Caenorhabditis elegans: one gene and its partners. The protein of the gene in region 3 purifies or fractionates together with the protein of the main gene of each other region. This does not show direct contact. Each region holds a gene or a part of one and is shown on either strand. Other genes may lie near its edges. The genes, in order: T21C9.6, nduc-2, vit-4 and W02D7.4.

Region 1 (7,454 bases), on a different chromosome or scaffold from region 3:
AACATTGTCTCAATAATTCGTCTGACTCTTCTTCCAACAAGGATCAGTGGTGCAGAGAGAAATCTGTTTACTGTCAGCTTTGTTTCGTTCATTATTCAGCTATTAGCTCTCGGAGATACGGTATTTAGGTTTTGCCTCCTCAGTTATTCAATATTTCAATACTTTTAGTTGATTCTTCGCGCCGCACCATCAGAAGGAATGTCAGTCGGAGCCCAAACTGCAAAAGCATTGATGCCTTTTGTTAGTGACATACTCACTTTCAATCATCCATGGACTATTATGTATTTTAGTACCAAGGTAAATGATATATAATTCTGTGAAACATGTCTTATTTTTCTAGGTACGTACGTCAATGGCAACAGACCATTTTCCCAGTCTCAGGAGTAGAGCTGTCATGGTAACAAGTTCCGTGTACTAACATATTTTTTATTTACTGATTTACTGACCAATGTGAACATACGCATCTTTTTTATTTGTGTTCTAGAATATCAAATTTTGAATAAACACTCACATAAAACAGTTTTATTTGAAAAAAATTGATTACATAAATTTATTCCTGATTAGTGTCCAGTCGGCTAATTGTGCCAGAAATAGAGTCCAGTTCAACAAGATCACCAGTTTTAAAGTGATATGTTGCATTGGAAACTGCAATCAAACTTGGTAGTCCATACTCTCTTGCAACAACAGCCCCATGACTGAGTAGTCCTCCAATCTCGGTGACAATTCCACTGATAATTGGGAAAAATGGAGACCAACAGATATCCGTGTATTTTGTAATGAGAATCTCTCCTGGTTTTGTCTCTTTTGCTTCTTCCAATGTTTTGGCAACTCTTGCTCTGGCTCTAACTTTTCCTTCGCATACTGTAGTTCCTCGAAGAATGATACCAATATTTGCATCAGTTTCAGCGATTTCTATTTTAATTGGATTCATGTATCCATGAGAAACAAGTGGAAATTGGAGACCTTCAAACTTCGATGAAATCTGTTTTCTTCTGATTGCTCTGGAAACAAGTTTTGCACTTCTTGTTGCATTCAATTCTTTAAGTTCGTCCATTGAGAAGTGCATCCAAAGATTTGGATCAGGAAGATATCCCTAAAATTGAAAATTACTTGCAGCAAATTTTAAATTAATTCACTTTTTCATACAACTTCTTTCCAACCATTCTGCATGCCTTTCGAAGAGAATGTGTCGTGGAAACTAAATGATTTTTTGCTGTTTCTCTAAATGAAACTCCACGGTGTGTCTGACCGATGAAATATTTCAAAAGTCTTCTGAAATGTGTAAATGCATTTTTTTCAAATGGTTACAAAAAGTTTCCCACCTTCTAATACCAGTCGGCTTGCATTTCAAGTTATCAATAATATCATCTTCATTCTCAATAGTCTTCCCAGACGTTTCTGGGCAAGCCAACATACTTTTAATTGTATGAACTAATAAATTGGTGTCCTCTTCCCAGGTGGTAGCATCTAAATAAAGTTCTTTCGGCCCTCGATGTCCATGCAATTCTAGAAATCTTCTCAATTCGTCAGAGCTTTTCTTTCCGTTTTCAAGTGTTTTCAAAGCCTCATCGTCTTCTGCAGCACAAAATTCTTTATCAATACTCTCTTCTCGAATGGTTTTTGCAAGTTTCTTTAAAGAATTTGGAACGTCAGCACTGATTACATCTCCACGAGAGTTATTGGAGAACACATTGGCAAAATCGGATATATTGTCATTGGAAAGAGGTCCATCTGAAAAATATTTTGAATGGAAGTTGATATCAGATTCTATAAAATTTGAATAATTACAACTTAGAAATACTTAATTTCAAGAATCAAAAGGAGGACAGATTTGACACAGAAATCATAATTTTATAGGTATTTTCAAGTATGCTGCTAAATAACAAACACAATTTTAAATGATTAATGCGTAATCATCAATTGTGTGAACTCTTAAAAACCTATCAAAAATAGTATTTTAAGGAGAGCTTAACCCTTCCTTAAGAATTCCAGTTAAACTCTATATCATTTGAAGGCCTTTCAACACTTTCCACAAAAACTAACTGTCACTTCCACGAATAAGCATTCCACATAGCACATATGTGAAAGAAGAGAACATTGAAAGACTGGTGTGACAATGGCTTGCATCACACCACAACTTCTCAAGCTCGTCATATTTTTTGAATACTATCTCAATCGTCATTTTATCATTTGGCACCAGTTTCTTTGCTTCCTCGTCGATTTTGACAATTTTCGCCTTCACACTGTTTGATGTAAAATATATTAACTTGATCATGTTGAACATTCTCTTCAACGGAAAGAAAGGTGAAACTTTTCCGTATTGATGAGCTGCTTGTTGGAACATTTCCGCATTGAAAAGAGTTTCTCCAGCAATCACTATATCAGTAATTCGATCTTTTTCAACCAGTTCCCAAATTCGAAGAACAACTTCTCCCAAATTGAAAAATATTTTACGGTGTGCAACGGAAAAGCCGATTGAAGTATGTGCCGGCACAACATCATTGAGCTCTTGAAATGTCATTGACTGAAATTTTGTTTATAATTTAATTTTTTTAATTATATTGTTATTCTTACTGCAATGACTTTATCAAACATTCCAGTTAAATTATGAGCTTCCATGGCATTAACCGGAACTGGAAGAACTTCTCCAACATTTGCATTTGTTAGAATTTCTTTGTCATGAATACTTGGCGAATTATATTCTGTGCACATTTCAAATTGAGTCTCCTTATCCAAACCAGTAATATCTCGACTTTGAACAATATTAACCATTTGATTTCTAACAACAAATTCAATATCTTGAGGTTTTCCAAATATTCTCTCCAAGTACTCTCCAACTTTGGTAAGTTTCTCAATCTGATAGTCATCCAAGCAACAATCGACGCCAACTTTCTGAAAATATTTTTGTAGTACTTCTTTATTGACAAAAAGGTAAAATATAGCAAAAATCCTTTTAAGAAAACCCAACTTACATTTATGACCACCGTTTTATGGATTCGATTTACGTAAATCTCATCTGGTGTCGTCACACCGCTCACAATTTGTTCCCCACTTCCTTTCAATGCATTTATCACAATTTCTCCACGATCTAATTTTACTGGATTTGCGGTGAACATAACTCCAGCCACTCCGTTTCGATCCATTTCTTGAATAACTACAGCCATTGACGGATTAAGCTGCTGACCGTAGTTTCTGTAAACGTCACATTGTGATTGAAATTTTAACTTGTTAAAACCTACTTTCTGTAATTCAATACTTCTCTTCTAAAATTAGAGCCCCAACACAGCTTCAGTTTATCAACTATATCAATTTCAATCACATCCAAGTAACTTTCCAGTTGTCCAGCTGATGAAAGATCTGCTCCATCTTCTCCAACTGCAGATGATCTTACTGCATAGTATTCAGAACGCGGTAACCACTCCTTAATTTCTTTTTGCAGTTCTTGAGACACTTCACTTTCGAAAAGAAGCCCTTCAATTCTAAAATATGTCATGTTTCTAAATATTGGATTGATAACTTATTTTATTACCTTTTACCAACATCCTCATAATACTCGGCATTTTTATCGTTGATATCGAGAAGTTTTATTTCTTCTAAAACATTTGGATTCGCAATTACATGCTTGTTGAAAGCTGCGGTAGTGACAACTATTCCAGGAGGCACATGGAACTGAAAATCTATTTCAACATTGTATATGCTTACTTTCAGAACTTACATCATCGGTGATTGCTTGAAGTCTTGCTAAATTCGCACCTTTTCCGCCAGTTAACATTTTATCCTGACATGCTCTGTGATTGAATGAGACTACTGATTTCATCTTTTCTGATTCAGTTGCATGATATTCCGGGAAACTATCGGGAAGTTTAGTTGTAACTTCATGAATTGCCTCTCTCACTCTAACCACAAATCCAACTCCCGTAAAAATTGCAGAATTAACTTCTAACGCAGTAACGTCGACAACCTTGTTGTCTTCTCGAATAAACGTGAAATGACATAATTTTCGTCCTTTTCTCATTTCAAGAGGGAGAAGTCCACGTGAAACATATTTGAATTGAACTGGAAGCATATTATCTGACTCAAGGGAATGAGAATTATCAATAATTATTGGACGAGCACTGTGATCTGAACGGAATCCCACTCCGTGACTAACTGATTTCTTTTCATCTACAGAGTTGACACGATAGGAAATTGCATTTGCATCCTGAAAACTACTTTCTTAAGCGGGATAAGCCAAAAAGTATTTCTACTTTTCTATAATACAAAAAAGATAAATAAACCTTACGCTCAGGTATGTATGAAAATGTGTAGAACTTGTCTCCAAGTCTAATGGATTTCTATGACGAAGTCCTGAAACTTTGATGGAATTTGGTTTTTGTATCGTGTGTTTTCAACCTCTATATCTATGTTCGACAACTTCATCTTTCCCAATTTTGATTTCTGCGTGATATTCACCCATTTGGTTTAACACATTTCCTTTTCGGTACCTAAAGTTGATATAACGTATTTGTAAGAAATGATTCAGTCACTTTTCGATAGTTTTCAAATTCTCAATCAGTGCAGTTGGTTTGTCATTGTAAATTTCATTGAATGACTTCAAAAGAGCATTTGAATAGAAAAATCTAGCATTCGACACACATTTCCACCATCCCGAAAGTATAACAAAATGAGAGTTGCCTTTAGCATCATTCAGGTATCCACGGAAATTAATTCTCCATTTACGGAATGGGTTTCGAAGCTCAATTAGCAATGGTCCACATGAAATTGTTCGATTATCGGAGAATACTGCTTTGTATGATCCGGAATAAAGAATTCCTTTTTCGAAAACTCGAATATGAGCAAAATGAATTTCATTCTTTGTTATAACTTGAATATACACAAAACTATTATCTTCTCCAGAACCGCTAATTGTTAGAATTTCCTGCAAAAAAAGGACGAATTTCGTGTCTATTTTTATTATTCATACTTCATTTTTAATATGTTCCAGTTCCCATTCCTCTTTATCAGGGTTTATAATGTCACGAATCTTTGCAGTTGGAGCAGTGAACTTTCTGAAATTGTATTGAGTCTACTGTAGCCTTTTTTAGTTTAAAAAAAATCAAAAAAATCTCGGTAATTCACTAGAACTTATAAAAAGACAATATGCATGAATACCATCAATATGCAAGAAGGGAACAGTTAAAGATTTTATTTTGAAAATGTTTTAAAAGTACGATTTCCAAATTTCGATCAGCGAAAAAAAATGAGTGGTATTTAAAGTATTGCAAAAACGTTTGAGTAATTTTTTAAATCAATCTTTTATCTATTCAAGCACATGTCTTTTCTTTAAATACTATAAGAGTGAACGAATCGGATAGTCATCGTTCATATTTTCCATAGAAATCTAGATAGAAGTTTCAACTTTTTGTCAATTTATCAAAGTATGGTTTCTGCTATTCATTCAAAAAAAAAAGTGTGCTCACTTGTTAATCAACTGATAGTATCAAATCACAATTGACAAAAAACTCGAATTTCAATATAGATAACCAGTTTGGGTCGTAAACAAAAAAGTGATCAATTGCCCCATACTGGGTCCATAATCACATTAGTACTCACTTGACCGGATGTCTCCATTTAAGGAACGCGTATATCACTGGATACAATACAAACTTGCATAGTGGAGCTGAAAGAAACAGCAAAAACAGGAATATCAACATTTGTTCTGTAAATACGTAGAATTTTATGTCAATAGCAATACATGTAAGAACATCAATAACTGAAGAGATAGATCTTGATAGTATTTTAGTAATCAGAGATAGCTTCAAGTGTACTTGTCTTGAAACGGTTTATAAAATAGTTTTAAAATGTATATATTTGCCAACTGATTTTCATGTGACACTTAGAATATCTATGTAGTTTGATAAAAGACTCTTGATTAAATCATTAAATAAATACAAAAGTACGTGCAGATTTGATAGTGATTGTGCTAATAAATTAGTGTTGTTGTATTGAAGGTCAAATATTTGTTGTTGGAAAATGGAAAAGATCAATAGCTTCTAGCAACTTATATGTCAAACTCGGCAAACAAAGATTAATTGAGAAATTTTAGTGAATTTTTAAGGCTCAATAATCGGGCATATTGTTTCTATAAAAAATCATCGCTAGACATTCATCTATATCACATCATAGATGAGTATATCATAGCAGAGCTGTCGGTTTTTTGCTTTTTTGGTTTTTTCGTAAAAATGGATTTTTGATTTTTTTTTCAGACCAAATTAACAGAAAAATTGTTTTTCAAAGATGTTATGTTTTAGTTGGATTGATGAAAAATCGAAAAAAATAGAGTGTTTTTTTTTTGGTTTTCTGGAGAAATTCGATTTTTTGTTGTTTTTCACAGCCCTCACAAGGTATATCATCACAAGCCTATCATCACGGCCATATACTCTAATAGTATGACATGCAAGTCGAATTCCAGAGAAGTTAGTACTAAATAATAGAGAATACAATAGAGATGTCACACAATGAATAATCTATGGCAAGGGCTCGAAGAAGAATTCGGCAAAAAAATTGAATAGTTTGAGTACAAACCATGTTTTCCAAAAACGACCAGTCATTGCAGAGAAGTTAACTAGAAAGAATGTGAATTTCTATGTTTATACTTCTAGCATTGGTAAGTTCAAAAAATAAGAAACTGGAAAAGTTGAGTGCTGAAGAATCTTATGGCACATATAAACTGTGGCTGATAACGAAATGATTTGGTTGAACGTATAAGTAGTTATCAGGAAATAATCAATAACTAAGTTTATGACGATGATGATTTTTTCGATAACTGAATTGACGGCGCAAATAAAACCAGCCGACGTATTTAATTTCCATCTGGGTGGTCTTCTAATTCGAATATTGGATATGTTCTTTGCAATGTTGTGAATGTTTATGGGAAGACATTTTTTACAAGAAAAATCTTTTTGTGATAATGATAATGATTACAAATACACTAAAATGGGCTCTTTCTTCCTATGCAAAAAGAAGACGTTCGGACGGTGGTGAATCAGAAATTTAGTCATGGGCATCGTCGTGACCGTGATGTCCGTGATTACGGTACTTGTACTTGAGTCGCTGCTCTTCTGGAACGGCAAAATCGTAGACAACAGTTCCGGCTTTGATGATTCCGAAAAGAAGAGCCAATCGCCACACAATTTTCAAATATTGACCATATGGAGATTGACGGAAGAAGTCGGGGTCTTTGTTCTGAAATAAAACAATACAAATCGCATTGCGTTTTATTTTATGCTGTCACTTTTTAAAAATTGAACGTTTTCTTGTTTAAAATTTTTTTAATTACTTATGCATGAGAAAATTGATTTTTTTTGTAGTACTTATGCCATTTCATAACAAAATATATGATTTTGTGAAGAACTTTGAAATTTTTTTAAAAACATTATGGCGGCTTCAAAAGCCAAGTTTTTAGCCTCGCCGGA
Region 2 (3,227 bases), on a different chromosome or scaffold from region 3:
CTGTGAAAACGCCCAACTTTTGCAGGCAAAACAGCAAAATTAGGAAATTCGCCTCGTGTCCCGAGCCGTAATCGATTCGAGTGGCGTTTCCGAAGGATTCTGTGAAATATGGAACCAGTTCGACTAGAGCATCGTGGACGTTTTCCGGAAGAACGCTGGCTAGGAGATCTGGGGATTCCTGGAATTTTTAAAATCTTTTTAAATACATTTTTGAGCTAAAAACCTTGCAAAGCTTCTCATAAAACTTTCTGTAAGCTTTATTGCCAAATCTTTGCTCGGAAACATCTTCCAGAGGAATTTCCTCAGCCCATTTCTGAAAAAAATCCATTTTTTATTTTTTTAAATCTGGTTTTTCGTAATTTTCCGTAATTTCTCGAACCTCCAGCTTATCCAGCATGTCGATAAAGCTGATAACCAAGTCTGTGCATCTCATGTCTGCAGTTGTATGAACTCCAACTACAGAATCATTCAAACGATGCAAGAAAGCCAGGTACTCCTCGTAAGCCTGCAAATTTCCATTCATAATCCTTCAAATCGATAAAATTTCTGTTCTACCTTGGAAAAGTACCACGGATTCAGGTCGAACACATTTTTAATCATCTTTTCCGGCGGTTTATACGAGTTTTCAGCCATTTTTCTGGAAAAAAATCTATTTGTTTTGATTTCTAGAACTTTGTTATGTAAAAAAATAATGCAGCAAGTGCGCTCCAACGCAAAACCCCATTGTGGAGCGTTTTGTGCGTGAGAGGTGTATAGGAGTGTGTGGCTCGCGCAGCGTCTTTAGTGAAAAATTTTTATTGATTTTAAATATTGTTTAATTCGGTTTTCACGGATTTCTGAGCTTTGAAAATAACCGCCCGTGTTTAAATTTCAATTATATTCAATTTCAGTAATGCCTGTCGAAGTTGAGGTTCCCCCAACCACTTACGAGAGACTCCAGCAATACAAGGTGAATTTTTAGCGTTTTTCTTCATTTTTATCGATAAAAATTTACAGGAGAAGTTCTCCGATGCTCTCCGTCATCCAGACTCGCCAGACTGGTACAAGAAGGAGACCCACGAGTCTGTGAAGAAGGATCTTCTCTGGGCTGCTCCATACGACGCCAGATTCCCACAGGTTGGTAACTTTATTTAAAATTTATTATATATTAATTAATAATAAAAATGTACAAGTTTTCAGGTCCGTAAGCAACGTCAATGCTTCGCCTACTACGTCGATTTCCATCGTTGCAATGAGCTCATGGGACAGGACTACAAGCCGTGCAAGTTCTTCCAAAATGTCTACAAGGACTTCTGCCCCGGATTCTGGACCGAGAGATGGGACGAGCTTCTTTCCGAGGGACGTTTCCCAGCTAAATTCGATCGCTAAATGAGATTGTTCGATTGTATTCGAGAACAGGCGTTTTATTAGTGCTGATATTCGATAAAAAGTGTCACTTGTAAAATATTTTAAACACTTTTATTTCTTATGGCGTTATGAGACGCTTGAAATATCTCATTTTTTTTAAAAATCATATTTCCCCCAAATAAATAATTTTCTCAGTGGAAACCATGGCTGACTCAACTCGCGTCAGCGAGAAGGAAATCGAGCGCCGCGAGACCTTTATTCGCGCAGGACACAGAGCTCGTCACCTGGCCGATCCATTCACATGGAGCTACCCATTGAAGGGTGCCAGTGCAATGCTCGGAATCTCGCTGGCTTCGGTTTATTTGCAAAATCGATGGAACAAGAAGCCGTACTACTACGCAATTGTTCCACGGCTTTTGCTCATCGGAGCCGCCACCGCCGCCGGATACGCTGCCGGAGCACTTCGAGAGAGACACTATCAGACGAGAGACGCAGTCATCGAGCACTACATGAAGCTTCATCCAGAGGATTTCGACCATTTTAATGATCGTGAGTTTTGGAATTTGCTGAAAAATCGATTTTCAGATTTTACTGCAATTTCGAAAAAAAAACCCGGCTGAATTCGATCAAATTTGAAAGATTTCGGCTTTTTCCCCCCAGAGAATACCGTATTTTTCGCGATTTTCTGTGATAAATGCAGAAAATATATACATTTTCCCCGAAAAAAAAACGCTGAAAAGGAGAAGATTTGGCTAAAATGCTCGATTTCGGACCAATTTTTGCATTCAAACACCCAAATCAATGATTTTTATCTTAAAAATAGCAAAAATTGGCGTGAAAAACCGATTTTAGCCTAAAACACCATGGAAAACTACAAATTATCGGTTTTTTCGTATTTTTTAACAGTAAATTCGTCATTGTTCATGTAAAATACTATAAATCACCGATTTTTATGTTAAATTCAGAAAAAAAATAGTGAAAATGGCGCATTTCAGCTTAATCTTCTCCTCGAGGAGTACACGAGCTGCGTAAATCGACACATCACAGAAAACTTGAATTTTGGACTAGAATTCAGTTTTTTTTTCGCAATTCTAAGTAATTATTTTGGAAATTAGTGCGAAAAAAAGGGAATTCTGGCTAAAAAATTCAAAATTTCTGGGAAAACGGAAGATTTTCTAGTGAAAAATGCAAGAAAATCATCAAAAATTCATGGAATCTATTTATTTTTCAGGCAGTGGACGTTCATTCTCTCAAGTTCTTCTTCCATGGTATCCACGCAGAACCCAGTACACCAGATACGACTGAACAATTCTCTCGAAGTCTCTTTTTAGTTCATTATTGTAAATTAAATGAAGAATTATTGATTTTTTTCCCGGAAAATTCTCATTTTTTTCATTTTTCAGCATCCATCTGGTCTTTTGAGCCGTTTTGAATATAACTAATTAACCCAGAAGCAATTTTGGGGCAAAAATACTATACTATATCCTGGGTCTCGACGCGACAATTTGTGTTAAATGCGAAGAGGGATGCGCCTTTAAAAAGTACTGTAGTTTTAAACTTTTGTTCCGGTGGTTTTTATTGATTTTTTATAGTTTTTCTCACATTTTATGAGAATTTTTGCATATTTTTTTAACGAAACTAGAATAAAAACACATAAATTTCTATAAAATCTGAAAAAAAAACTATGAAAAATCGATCAAAAATTTAAAAAAAAACTCAAAATTGTCGTGGCGAGACCAGTTTTTTGCCACAAAAATCGCGCAAAAAAACGCCAGATTTCAGCATAATGGAAGCATCTTCGGAACAAATTTTATTGGATCGAAAAGATCGATTAATTGCAAAACTGGAACAAAGAAATGAAGAACGAAAAGTGCAAACTG
Region 3 (7,471 bases):
TAAATAATTTAATATATACCAAAACTTCCGCAAAATTGACTTGTATGGCAAAATGGCTGCAATACAAATAGAGGATTCAAAACTAGTTTTCGTTTGACTGGTAGGGGTGCAGGACTATTGGAAGTTCTGAACCTTCGACAAAATTGACATTTTCTGAATAAATTGAACTTAAACGTATTTAAATAGCTGGAGAAACTTTGGAAAACAATGTATCTTTCATGGATTGAACGTGTATCATAGTTTTTAACAAAAACTGGTAACTTTTCCGAACTTATGGAACAATTGAAAATAAGTCTTGCATTCATAACTAATAGAGGAAATGGGGTATATATTTTTAAAAAACCCACTGATGAATTTTCCTGTAAATGAAGGTGAACATTTTTACTCTGTGGCGACAAATAGGTATTCTGTATGTAATTATAAATGACAAAATAAAACTTTTCCAACTTTTATGTCAATTCAGACGTTGCTATGTTTTGAGCTTGCACCAGAAAAAAATATTATGACATCATCGAAGAGTGCCTATTGATAAAATGATCCTCAAGCTAATGCTGGTGGAAAAACATGATTTTGATAGTGTAAAACAAAATTCAGAAGGCATTAGTTTCACAAATAGAGATCTGAGTACTTTTAAATGTTAGTATGAGCTAATTGTACCCTCTTTACAATTTGTAATTGTACCCTCTTCACATGAATTTTCTTGTATTGTCCCTATTCACTAATCTTAATTTTAGGTGATAATTATACACATTACATGTCAATTGATTATTATGTATATATTGCTTGTTGTTATGTTTTTGTTATTGTTTATTTAGATTCTGTGTGTTGTATTGGTATTTCATTTCTTACACAATTGACAAATCCTACAAAAATAAATAAATCAAAATGGGAAAACCAACTCTTCAGATGGAGTTCATCGCTACAGGAAAAAATATGATTTTATCATTATGGTTTTGTGGGCCATGAAAATGCTCAATATATGGTACAGCTGGAACAGTCAATTATTATAGACTGTTGGGAATGTGTGACTTTTTTTAAATGTAGATAAAGGGGTTTTAATCTCCAATACATGAAGCAACAAATATAACTTATGAAAAAACAACAAATTGACCTGAATTCTGTAAATGTTGAAAAAAGCCAATTTATGGTCCTAATTTATAAAAAAAATCGAGCCGCGAAGAATATTAATGTTTTTATTAGCAATAATAATGGCACAAACAAAGTACGACTACTCCAAATAATGTTGTATTCACTAAACGCCGAATTTTTATCAGTGAAATGTTCAAAAAATTGCGTGTTTATCCAAGAATGTTTCCCATCAAAATTGTTGGAGCGATTAAAGCTGCCCAATTTTAACAATGGTCCATAAAACTTCCGCTTGTGATTTCAAACCACGGGCGGTAAGCAAGCACAAAGACTGCATTGACAGAACTAATGTGTATTTTTTTGATGTTCCATATTAATGTTCTATAACCCACACTGTGGTACGTCTATCAATTAAATTCAGAAACCATCATTTAGGCGTCGATCTTCAGGGAAAACTGACATCTGCAACTTTGATAATATATTTTCAACATGTATCTTTCAATTTGCGCTGATAAGCATTAAATGGCACGATCACAATCTCTGGAAATCTGTCAATAATATTAAAACCTCCTTGCAATCGCCTGTCCTGTCAATTAAACACACTGGTATAAATAGAAACGCTGGAAAGGGAATAATCACTCTCGCAATGAAGTCAATAATCATTGCCTCTCTTGTCGCCTTGGCGATTGCCGCCTCTCCGGCTCTTGACCGTACTTTCTCCCCAAAGAGCGAATACGTCTACAAATTTGACGGACTTCTTCTCTCTGGACTCCCAACTACATTTTCCGATGCTTCCCAAACCCTGATTTCTTGCCGTACCCGTCTTCAAGCTGTTGATGATCGTTACATTCATCTTCAATTGATTGATATTCAGTACTCTGCTTCCCACATTCCACAATCTGAGCAATGGCCAAAAATCGAATCTTTGGAGCAACGTGAGCTTTCCGATGAGCTCAAAGAGCTTCTTGAGCTTCCATTCCGTGCTCAAATCAGAAATGGACTTGTTTCTGAGATCCAATTTTCTTCCGAAGATGCCGAGTGGTCCAAGAACGCCAAGAGATCGATTCTCAATCTTTTCTCTCTCCGCAAGTCTGCTCCAGTTGATGAGATGAGCCAAGATCAGAAAGATATGGAATCCGACAAAGATTCTCTTTTCTTCAATGTTCATGAAAAGACCATGGAAGGAGACTGCGAAGTCGCTTACACCATTGTTCAAGAGGGAGGGAAGACCATCTACACCAAATCTGTCAACTTCGACAAATGCATCACTCGCCCAGAGACTGCTTATGGTCTTCGTTTTGGATCTGAGTGCAAGGAATGCGAGAAGGAGGGACAATTTGTTCAGCCACAAACTGTCTACACCTACACCTTCAAGAACGAGAAATTGCAAGAATCTGAGGTTAATTCTATTTACACTTTGAATGTCAACGGACAAGAGGTTGTCAAGTCTGAGACTCGCGCCAAGGTCACTTTCGTCGAAGAAAGCAAGATCAATAGAGAGATCAAGAAGGTAATTTATTTAAAAATGTATTTTATGGGCTTTTGATAGCTAACTCTAACAGTAATACTTTCAGGTCTCTGGACCAAAGGAGGAAATCGTCTACTCCATGGAAAACGAGAAGCTTATTGAGCAATTCTACAAACAAGGAGACAAAGCTGAGGTCAACCCATTCAAGGCTATCGAGATAGAGCAAAAAGTTGAGCAACTTGAAGAGATCTTCCGTCAAATTCAAGAGCACGAGCAGAACACCCCAGAAACTGTCCACCTTATTGCCCGCGCCGTCCGCATGTTCCGCATGTGCACCATCGAAGAACTCAAGAAGGTTCACACCACCATCTACACTAAGGCCGAGAAGAAGGTAACCAATACACATTTCATAATCACTAATATCATGTTCTCTCTTAGGTTCAACTTGTCATTGAAACCACATTGGCTGTGGCTGGAACCAAGAACACCATTCAACACTTGATTCATCACTTCGAGAAGAAGAGCATCACACCATTGAGAGCTGCTGAGCTTCTTAAATCTGTCCAAGAAACTCTTTACCCAAGTGAGCACATTGCTGACCTTCTCATCCAACTTGCCCAATCGCCACTCTCTGAGAAGTACGAACCACTTCGTCAATCTGCCTGGCTCGCCGCAGGATCTGTTGTTCGTGGATTTGCTTCAAAGACCCAAGACCTTCCATTGATCCGCCCAGCATCTAGACAAACCAAGGAAAAGTACGTTCGCGTCTTCATGCAACACTTCCGTAACGCTGACTCCACATACGAGAAGGTTCTTGCTCTTAAGACCCTTGGAAACGCGGGAATCGACCTTTCCGTCTATGAGCTTGTTCAGCTTATCCAAGATCCACGTCAACCACTTTCCATCCGCACTGAGGCTGTAGATGCTCTTCGTCTTCTCAAGGACGTTATGCCACGCAAGATCCAGAAGGTTCTCCTTCCAGTCTACAAGAACCGTCAAAACAAGCCAGAGCTCCGTATGGCTGCTCTTTGGAGAATGATGCACACCATTCCAGAAGAACCAGTTCTTGCTCACATCGTTTCCCAAATGGAAAACGAATCCAACCAACACGTTGCTGCCTTCACCTACAACGTCCTCCGTCAATTCTCCAAGTCTACCAACCCATGCTACCAACAATTGGCTGTTCGTTGCTCCAAGGTTCTTCTCTTCACCCGTTATCAACCACAAGAACAGATGCTCTCCACCTACTCCCAACTTCCACTTTTCAACTCTGAGTGGCTCTCCGGAGTTCAATTCGACTTCGCCACCATTTTCGAGAAGAACGCTTTCTTGCCAAAGGAAGTTCAAGCATCATTCGAAACCGTCTTCGGAGGAAACTGGAACAAATACTTCGCTCAAGTTGGATTCTCTCAACAGAACTTTGAGCAAGTCATCCTCAAGACCCTCGAAAAACTTTCTCTTTACGGAAAGCAATCTGATGAACTCCGTTCCCGTCGTGTCCAATCTGGAATCCAGATGCTTCAAGAGATTGTCAAGAAGATGAACATCCGTCCACGTGTCCAACAAACCGATTCTCAAAATGCTCACGCTGTTTTCTACCTTCGCTACAAGGAGATGGACTACATCGTTCTTCCAATTGACATGGAAACTATTGACAATGTTGTTGAGAAGTATGTCAGAAACGGGGAGTTTGACATCAAATCCCTCCTCACTTTCTTGACCAACGACTCCAAGTTCGAGCTTCACCGTGCTCTCTTCTTCTACGAGGCTGAACGCAGAATTCCAACCACCATTGGAATGCCACTCACCATTTCTGGAAAGATGCCAACTATCCTCTCTATCAACGGAAAGGTTTCAATTGAGCTCGAGAAGCTTGGAGCTCGTCTTGTTCTTGATATCGTTCCAACTGTTGCCACCACCCACGTCACTGAGATGCGCTTCTGGTATCCAGTCATTGAACAAGGAGTCAAGTCACTTCAATCTGCTCGTCTCCACACTCCATTGAGATTCGAATCAACTGTTGAATTGAAGAAGAACACTCTCGAAATCACTCACAAGTTTGTTGTCCCAGAGAACAAGAAGACCACTGTTTCCGTTCATACCCGCCCAGTTGCTTTCATCCGTGTTCCAAAGAACCAAGACTCTGAATATGTTGAGGCTGAAGAGAAGACTATTTCCCACTCACAATACCAAATGTCTACTGAAGAGATTGATCGTCAATATGAGACCTTTGGACTCAGAATCAATGCCCAAGGAAATGTTCTTTCCCAATGGACTCTTCCAATGGTCTTGATGACTGAACAAGATTTCGAGTTCACTCTTGAGAACAAAAACCGTCCAGTTGAGTTCACAGCTCGCGTCACTATTGGAAACCTCGAGAAGACTGATCTTTCCGAGATCAAGTTCGACAAGATCTTCGAAAAAGAATTCGACCTTGAGAACAACGAATCTGAGAACCGCCGCCAATACTTCCACAAGATGATCCGTGAGATTCAATCCGAGCAAGGATTCAAGAATCTTATTACCCTCAAGCTTGAGGCTCCACAACAAATGTACTGGAACACTGAACTTCGTACCGTCTGTGACAAATGGATCCGTATGTGCAAGGTTGAGATGGATGCTCGTCGCTCTCCAATAGAGCACGAGAACAAGGAATGGACTCTTCGTACTGAGCTTCTTGCTGCCCGCCCACAAATGCCATCATCCCTCCGTCAACTTCGTGAGCAACCACACCGTGAGGTTCAACTTGCACTCAACGCCAAGTGGGGATCATCAAAGAAGAGCGAGATCACCTTCAATGCTCAACTCGAACAATCCACGGAACAAAAGAAGTTCCTCCGCAACATCGAGCGTGAGTACAAGGGAATTCCAGAGTACGAACTTTTGATCAAGGCTGCTCGTCTTAACCAAGTCAATGTTGTCTCTGAGTACAAGCTCACCCCAGAGTCTGAATACACTTTCTCCCGCATTTTCGACCTTATCAAGGCATACAACTTCTGGACTGTTTCTGAGAAGCGTGTCCAAAACGAGGATCGCCGCGTCGTTCTTCAACTTTCTGTTGAGCCACTTTCCCGCCAATACATGAACATGACCATCCAGACTCCAGAACAAGAAGTTGAGTTGAAGAATGTTCGTATTCCACGCGTCGTTCTCCCAACTATTGCTCGTCGTGCCATGTTCCAACAAACCTGGGAAAAGACCGGAGCCACCTGCAAGGTTGACCAATCTGAGGTTTCTACCTTTGACAACGTGATCTACCGTGCTCCACTCACCACCTGCTACTCTCTTGTTGCCAAGGATTGCTCCGAACAGCCAAGATTCGCTGTTCTTGCCAAGAAGATCAACAAGAACTCTGAGGAGCTTCTCGTTAAGGTTGTCCGCCGTGAGGAAGAAATTGTTGTGAAGAAGTCTGACGATAAGTTCCTTGTCAAGGTTGACGGAAAGAAGGTTAACCCAACTGAACTTGAACAATACAAGTAAGCTTTAACTCTAAATCACATGAATTTTTCTAATCTCGTTTTTCAGTATCGAAATTCTTGGAGATAACCTTATTGTTATTCGTCTTCCACATGGAGAGGTTCGTTTCGATGGATACACTGTCAAGACCAACATGCCATCCGTTGCTTCACAAAACCAACTTTGCGGACTTTGCGGAAACAATGACGGTGAGAGAGACAATGAGTTCATGACCGCTGACAACTACGAAACTGAGGATGTTGAGGAATTCCACCGCTCTTACCTTCTCAAGAACGAAGTAACTATATTGTTTCAAAAAACTGAATATATATTTATTTCGTTTTCAGGAATGCGAAGTTGAGAAAGACCGCATCTCCGAGAAGAAGAACTACAAAAACAAATGGAACAGAGAAGAGAAGAAGTCCGACTACGAGAGCAGCTCCGACTACGAGAGCAACTACGATGAAAAGGAAACTGAGAAGGGTTAGTTTAAAGCTGAATGATGTGTAGTTTTAACAAAATACATATTTTTCAGAACTCGTCAAGAAGACCCTCATCAAGGAGTTCTCCAACCGCGTCTGCTTCTCCATCGAGCCAGTCTCTGAGTGCCGCCGTGGACTCGAATCCGAGAAGACTTCCAACAAGAAGATCCGTTTCACTTGCATGCCACGCCACAGCAAGAACGCCCGCCGTTTCTTGAAGGAGGCCCGTGAGCAAACCGTCGCCGACTTGGTCGATTTCCCAGTCTCCTTTGTTGAGTCTGTCAAGATCCCAACCGCCTGCGTTGCCTATTAAATTCACATTTATCATGTTTTAGTCCATAATAAATTTTCACACTAGAATACTATTCATTACACATTCTTGTATTCTGAAAAACTACCATTTTTGACATTTCTGAATGTTCATAAAAAAATGTACACTAACCGCAACTTTATTTCAGTTCCAATTTTTCACGAATCAAAATTGGAAAACTGATGTATTTGTTTTGTGTGCTACAATTATTTCAAGTTATGCTGAGTTTTTCAAAAATTCGGGTTTTCAGCTCTAAATTGGACAAATATAAAATCTGACATAATTCAAACTGTTCTGCAAAGTTTCCATCGTTCTATAATTTTTCTATCAGATAGACTGAAATATCCATTTTCAGCTCTTTTGAATGCCTACCAAAGTTTTGTTGTAAGTAGCTTCAGCTTTTTCCCATAATGGAAAATATCACCTATGCCTAAAATTTAAATGACATTATATACGGAAAAAAGGATTTTTAATAGTAAATTTTCCAAGTTATCTAAATTTAATTAAACGTTTTCAGGGAAACCAAAACTTTTTTTCAAATGTCTTTCAGAAACTTTGTAGAAAATTTTCAGCTCTTTTGAATGCCTACCAAAGTTTTTCTGTAAGTAGCTTCCGTTTTTACCCATAACGGAAAATATCACCTCTCCCTATTATTTTTTTTGTTTATTT
Region 4 (3,249 bases), on a different chromosome or scaffold from region 3:
ATGTGATGACACTGTTGCGTGTGCAATATGAGGAAAACTTTCGAAAAAAAAATCGGGAAATATGATGACAGGATTTACGGAAAAGGAAAGGGAACAGATTGTACATATCGAGAGTGAAGTGGTAGTACTAACAAGTTATGAGATGATCCAGATCTTGACCTATTTTGGGATACAGAAATGTAAATAAGAACTTTTAAAGAACAACTATAAGTTTAGTAACACATGGTTATGTTTATATATGGTGAATAATAAATATTCGTATTTGGAGTTAAAAAATATCTCACTTAAATACTATACGAGTTTACCCCAAGAGCAGTACTGTAAGAATACTGGAATTCGTTTTTTGGAAACATCATATCACAGAGCTCGAACAAAAGATTTCTAGTAACATTATGAAGGATAAATAAGAATCAATTTAATTTTTGGCAGGTGTTTATTTCAGTATATGATGGAAATTCGGTTATGTAGCTTACTATTCTATTGACACTCATTTAATATCGTATTATGTATTTCACCAAAAAATAAACGTGCCTAAACATTTATTAAGTCTATTTTCATTTGAATTCTTATTCTGGCAAGTTCTCGTACTCCTCAATTGGTTTGAAGTTCAGGCAAAGAGAAGTTGTACCATCATCCAACTTCAAAACTTGATTTCCTTTTGAATCAACAATTGTCGAATATGGCAACTCTTTGAGGCACTATAAATTACTTTTAATTTCTGGAAAAGTGTGACTTTCCCTACCTTAAAACCAGCTTTTTCGAGAACAATTTGATTGGCAAGTGATGTGGTCTCCGAGAGAACTCCACCAATGTTATATTTCTAAATTAATCAATCCATTTATCAAACATTAAAGAAACATACATACTTTCAAGTTACGTTTTGTCATGTTAGTAGTAACCATTTTGGTAGCAATTCCAAGTCGAGTGAACTGAGGAGCTACGCTTCCAATTTCTCTGGAAACAGCAATTTTATTTTTAAAAAAAGTCCCGAGGATACCTGTGAATAATGGAATTGACGTTTGGTGGAGCAATTTTCCAAAAGTTCAAATGAGCCTTGTTCAAAAATTGGACTGAAAGCAACAAATTAAACTTATTATCTGGATCGACGGCTCACTAAAAAGTTTGAAATTCTCCGGAAGACCTGTATCATCAAAATCAGCATTCTCAAGTGGATCAGTACGATTCCAAACAGAAGCCAAAAGACAAGCAGCCAAATCACCATTTTCTTGGAGGACAACTGTTGAGAAAGGTGTAGTGAGACAGCGGGTTACGGTAGCTGTGAAAACGCCACGAGATATTTCTGGGGAGATTTTTAGCGCCTGAACAAGTGATCGGAATAATTAACTAGAAAATTGTGAACAAACTCTTGAACATGGCTCCTCCTTTGCAAAATGTTTATCCAGAAACTTAATAATTCGTTCATGATCCTTCGGTTGTGCGACACGGAAAAGAAGTGGAGAATTTCGAAGAACTTTGGATAACATCATATTGTTATATTGAGTTGTTCAAAAGAACAAAAAGAACGAAGTGGTATCGATAATATTGCTTGTTGTGTTGGAAACATAAAGTGACATTTTATTTGACAGTTCACGCAAGTTTTAAATGTCAATCAAGAATTAATATTTTTGAATTTCTTCATGATACCCGATGAGTTTTCAGTTCAAAATAAAGATAAGTTTATTTTCCAGTTAAAATTAAGTTTTTACATTTTTAAATACAATTAGAGAGGATGAAATACAATTTCAATTTTAATAATTATTACATCACAATTTAATAGATCTATTGTTCATTCTGGTAGGTTTTCGTATTCTTCAATTGGCTTGAAATTGAGACAAAGAGAAGTTGTTCCATCATCCGGTCGAAGTACACGATTGCCTTTTGAATCAACTATTGCAGAGTAGGGTAGCTCTTTGAGACACTGAAAATGCAAATAGTTTTGGGTTGATGACAGATATTTGCTCCAATATTCAAAATTTAGAATTTGTTAAAATCTATTTTGAAATCCTAATTTCTTTGTTCTTCTTCATAAAATCACCTTGAATCCAGCTTTTTGGAGAACTATCTGATTTGCGAGAGACGATGTTTCCGAGAGAACTCCACCAATATTATATTTCTGAAATATTATATTTCATTTTATTCGGCATACAACAATTTTTTCCGGTTTGACACTTTTATTTTCACATCTTTTCTTAAAACTTACTTTCAAATTAGTTTTAGTCATATTTGTAGTTACCATCCTTGTTGCAATTCCTTTTCTTGTGAACTGTGGGGCGACACTTCCGATTTCTCTGAAATAAAAACAAATATTTATTAACAAATGAAACATCAATCGTATTATGGAAACACCGCGTTTTGAAAATGCGTATTACGCAACACATTTGACGCGCAGAATATCTCGTAGTGAAAGCTACAGTAACTCGTAGAATGTCTACTGTGGCGCTGTTGTAAATTTACAGCGAAGTTCCATTTTTATTCGTTTTTCGTGTTATTTTCTCATTTTTTGCTTAATTTTAGTGTTCTATCGATAAATAAATGATTTTAATTAATTTTGAAGACCAAGCCCTTAAGTCGAGAAAACCGCTACAGTAGCAATTTAAAGAGTTACTGTAGTTTTCGCTACGAGATATCTTGCGCGTCAAGTATGTTGCGCAATACGAATCCTGAGAATTTAGTGCTTTCGTAATATGTACCTATGAATAATGGAATTAACGTTTGGCGGAGCAATTTTCCAAAAGTTTGAGTGGGCGGAGTTGATGAATTGGACTGAAAATACTAATTAATCAAATTTGTGTTTTAAAACAGAGCTGATACCAAAAAGTTTCAAATTTTCCGGCATTCCCGAACTATTGAAATCTGCACTATCAATTGGGTCTGTTCGATTCCATACAGAAGCTAAAAGGCACGCTGCAATCTCGTCATTTTCTTGAAGAACTACGGTAGAAAATGGGAAATTGAGGCAACGAGTTACAGTAGTTGTAAAGATTCCACGAGATGTTTCAGGGGAAAGTTTGAGCGCCTGAAAAAACAAAGATTTACTGTGTTTTGAATCTGGTAAATAAAAATCGATTAACTAACTCTAGCACATGGTTCCTCTTTCGCGAAATGAGCATCCAAGAACTTCAGGATGTTCTCCTTGTCCTTCGGCTGAGCAACTCGGAACAGAAGCTGTGGTTTTTGGAAGAATTTGGACAGCTGCATATTTATCTGAACCAATAACTAAAAATTAAATGCCAAACTGCCAATGAAGGA

What was found.
Region 1: the proteins of vit-4 (region 3) and T21C9.6 purify together in Caenorhabditis elegans (affinity purification with mass spectrometry, with the first as the bait; one large-scale study listed by BioGRID). This does not show direct contact.
Region 2: the proteins of vit-4 (region 3) and nduc-2 fractionate together in Caenorhabditis elegans (co-fractionation; one large-scale study listed by BioGRID). This does not show direct contact.
Region 4: the proteins of vit-4 (region 3) and W02D7.4 purify together in Caenorhabditis elegans (affinity purification with mass spectrometry, with the first as the bait; one large-scale study listed by BioGRID). This does not show direct contact.

What each region holds. Positions count from the first base shown.
Region 1 is NC_003283.11:10,580,131-10,587,584, reverse strand, and holds T21C9.6 (Phosphoenolpyruvate synthase), read right to left. Parts: upstream 5,699-7,454; 5' UTR 5,694-5,698; coding exon 5,593-5,693; intron 5,049-5,592; coding exon 4,964-5,048; intron 4,919-4,963; coding exon 4,527-4,918; intron 4,485-4,526; coding exon 4,393-4,484; intron 4,348-4,392; coding exon 4,283-4,347; intron 4,202-4,282; coding exon 3,716-4,201; intron 3,670-3,715; coding exon 3,530-3,669; intron 3,480-3,529; coding exon 3,240-3,479; intron 3,193-3,239; coding exon 2,973-3,192; intron 2,893-2,972; coding exon 2,575-2,892; intron 2,525-2,574; coding exon 2,044-2,524; intron 1,732-2,043; coding exon 1,323-1,731; intron 1,273-1,322; coding exon 1,137-1,272; intron 1,094-1,136; coding exon 551-1,093; 3' UTR 508-550; downstream 1-507. Other genes in the region: srg-32 (Serpentine receptor class gamma), read left to right, coding at 1-120, 169-297, 341-418; lpd-9 (LiPid Depleted), read right to left, coding at 7,033-7,224.
Region 2 is NC_003281.10:2,785,312-2,788,538, forward strand, and holds nduc-2 (NADH dehydrogenase [ubiquinone] 1 subunit C2), read left to right. Parts: upstream 1-1,540; 5' UTR 1,541-1,550; coding exon 1,551-1,896; intron 1,897-2,578; coding exon 2,579-2,652; 3' UTR 2,653-2,717; downstream 2,718-3,227. Other genes in the region: Y71H2AM.20 (Serine/threonine-protein phosphatase 2A activator), read right to left, coding at 1-178, 224-313, 380-505, 556-633; cox-6B (Cytochrome oxidase c subunit VIb), read left to right, coding at 893-949, 997-1,116, 1,180-1,368; tbcc-1 (C-CAP/cofactor C-like domain-containing protein), read left to right, coding at 3,134-3,227.
Region 3 is NC_003284.9:3,558,227-3,565,697, reverse strand, and holds vit-4 (Vitellogenin-4), read left to right. Parts: upstream 1-1,732; coding exon 1,733-2,596; intron 2,597-2,660; coding exon 2,661-2,945; intron 2,946-2,992; coding exon 2,993-6,030; intron 6,031-6,079; coding exon 6,080-6,308; intron 6,309-6,357; coding exon 6,358-6,493; intron 6,494-6,545; coding exon 6,546-6,805; 3' UTR 6,806-6,929; downstream 6,930-7,471. UniProt on the Caenorhabditis elegans protein: Precursor of the egg-yolk proteins that are sources of nutrients during embryonic development. Together with other vitellogenins, may play a role in modulating life-span, acting via induction of autophagy and lysosomal lipolysis.
Region 4 is NC_003283.11:8,296,036-8,299,284, forward strand, and holds W02D7.4 (aralkylamine N-acetyltransferase), read right to left. Parts: upstream 1,570-3,249; 5' UTR 1,488-1,569; coding exon 1,365-1,487; intron 1,320-1,364; coding exon 1,115-1,319; intron 1,071-1,114; coding exon 998-1,070; intron 955-997; coding exon 867-954; intron 821-866; coding exon 743-820; intron 699-742; coding exon 567-698; 3' UTR 523-566; downstream 1-522. Other genes in the region: W02D7.5 (aralkylamine N-acetyltransferase), read right to left, coding at 1,787-1,918, 2,036-2,113, 2,201-2,288, 2,691-2,763, 2,812-3,016, 3,076-3,198.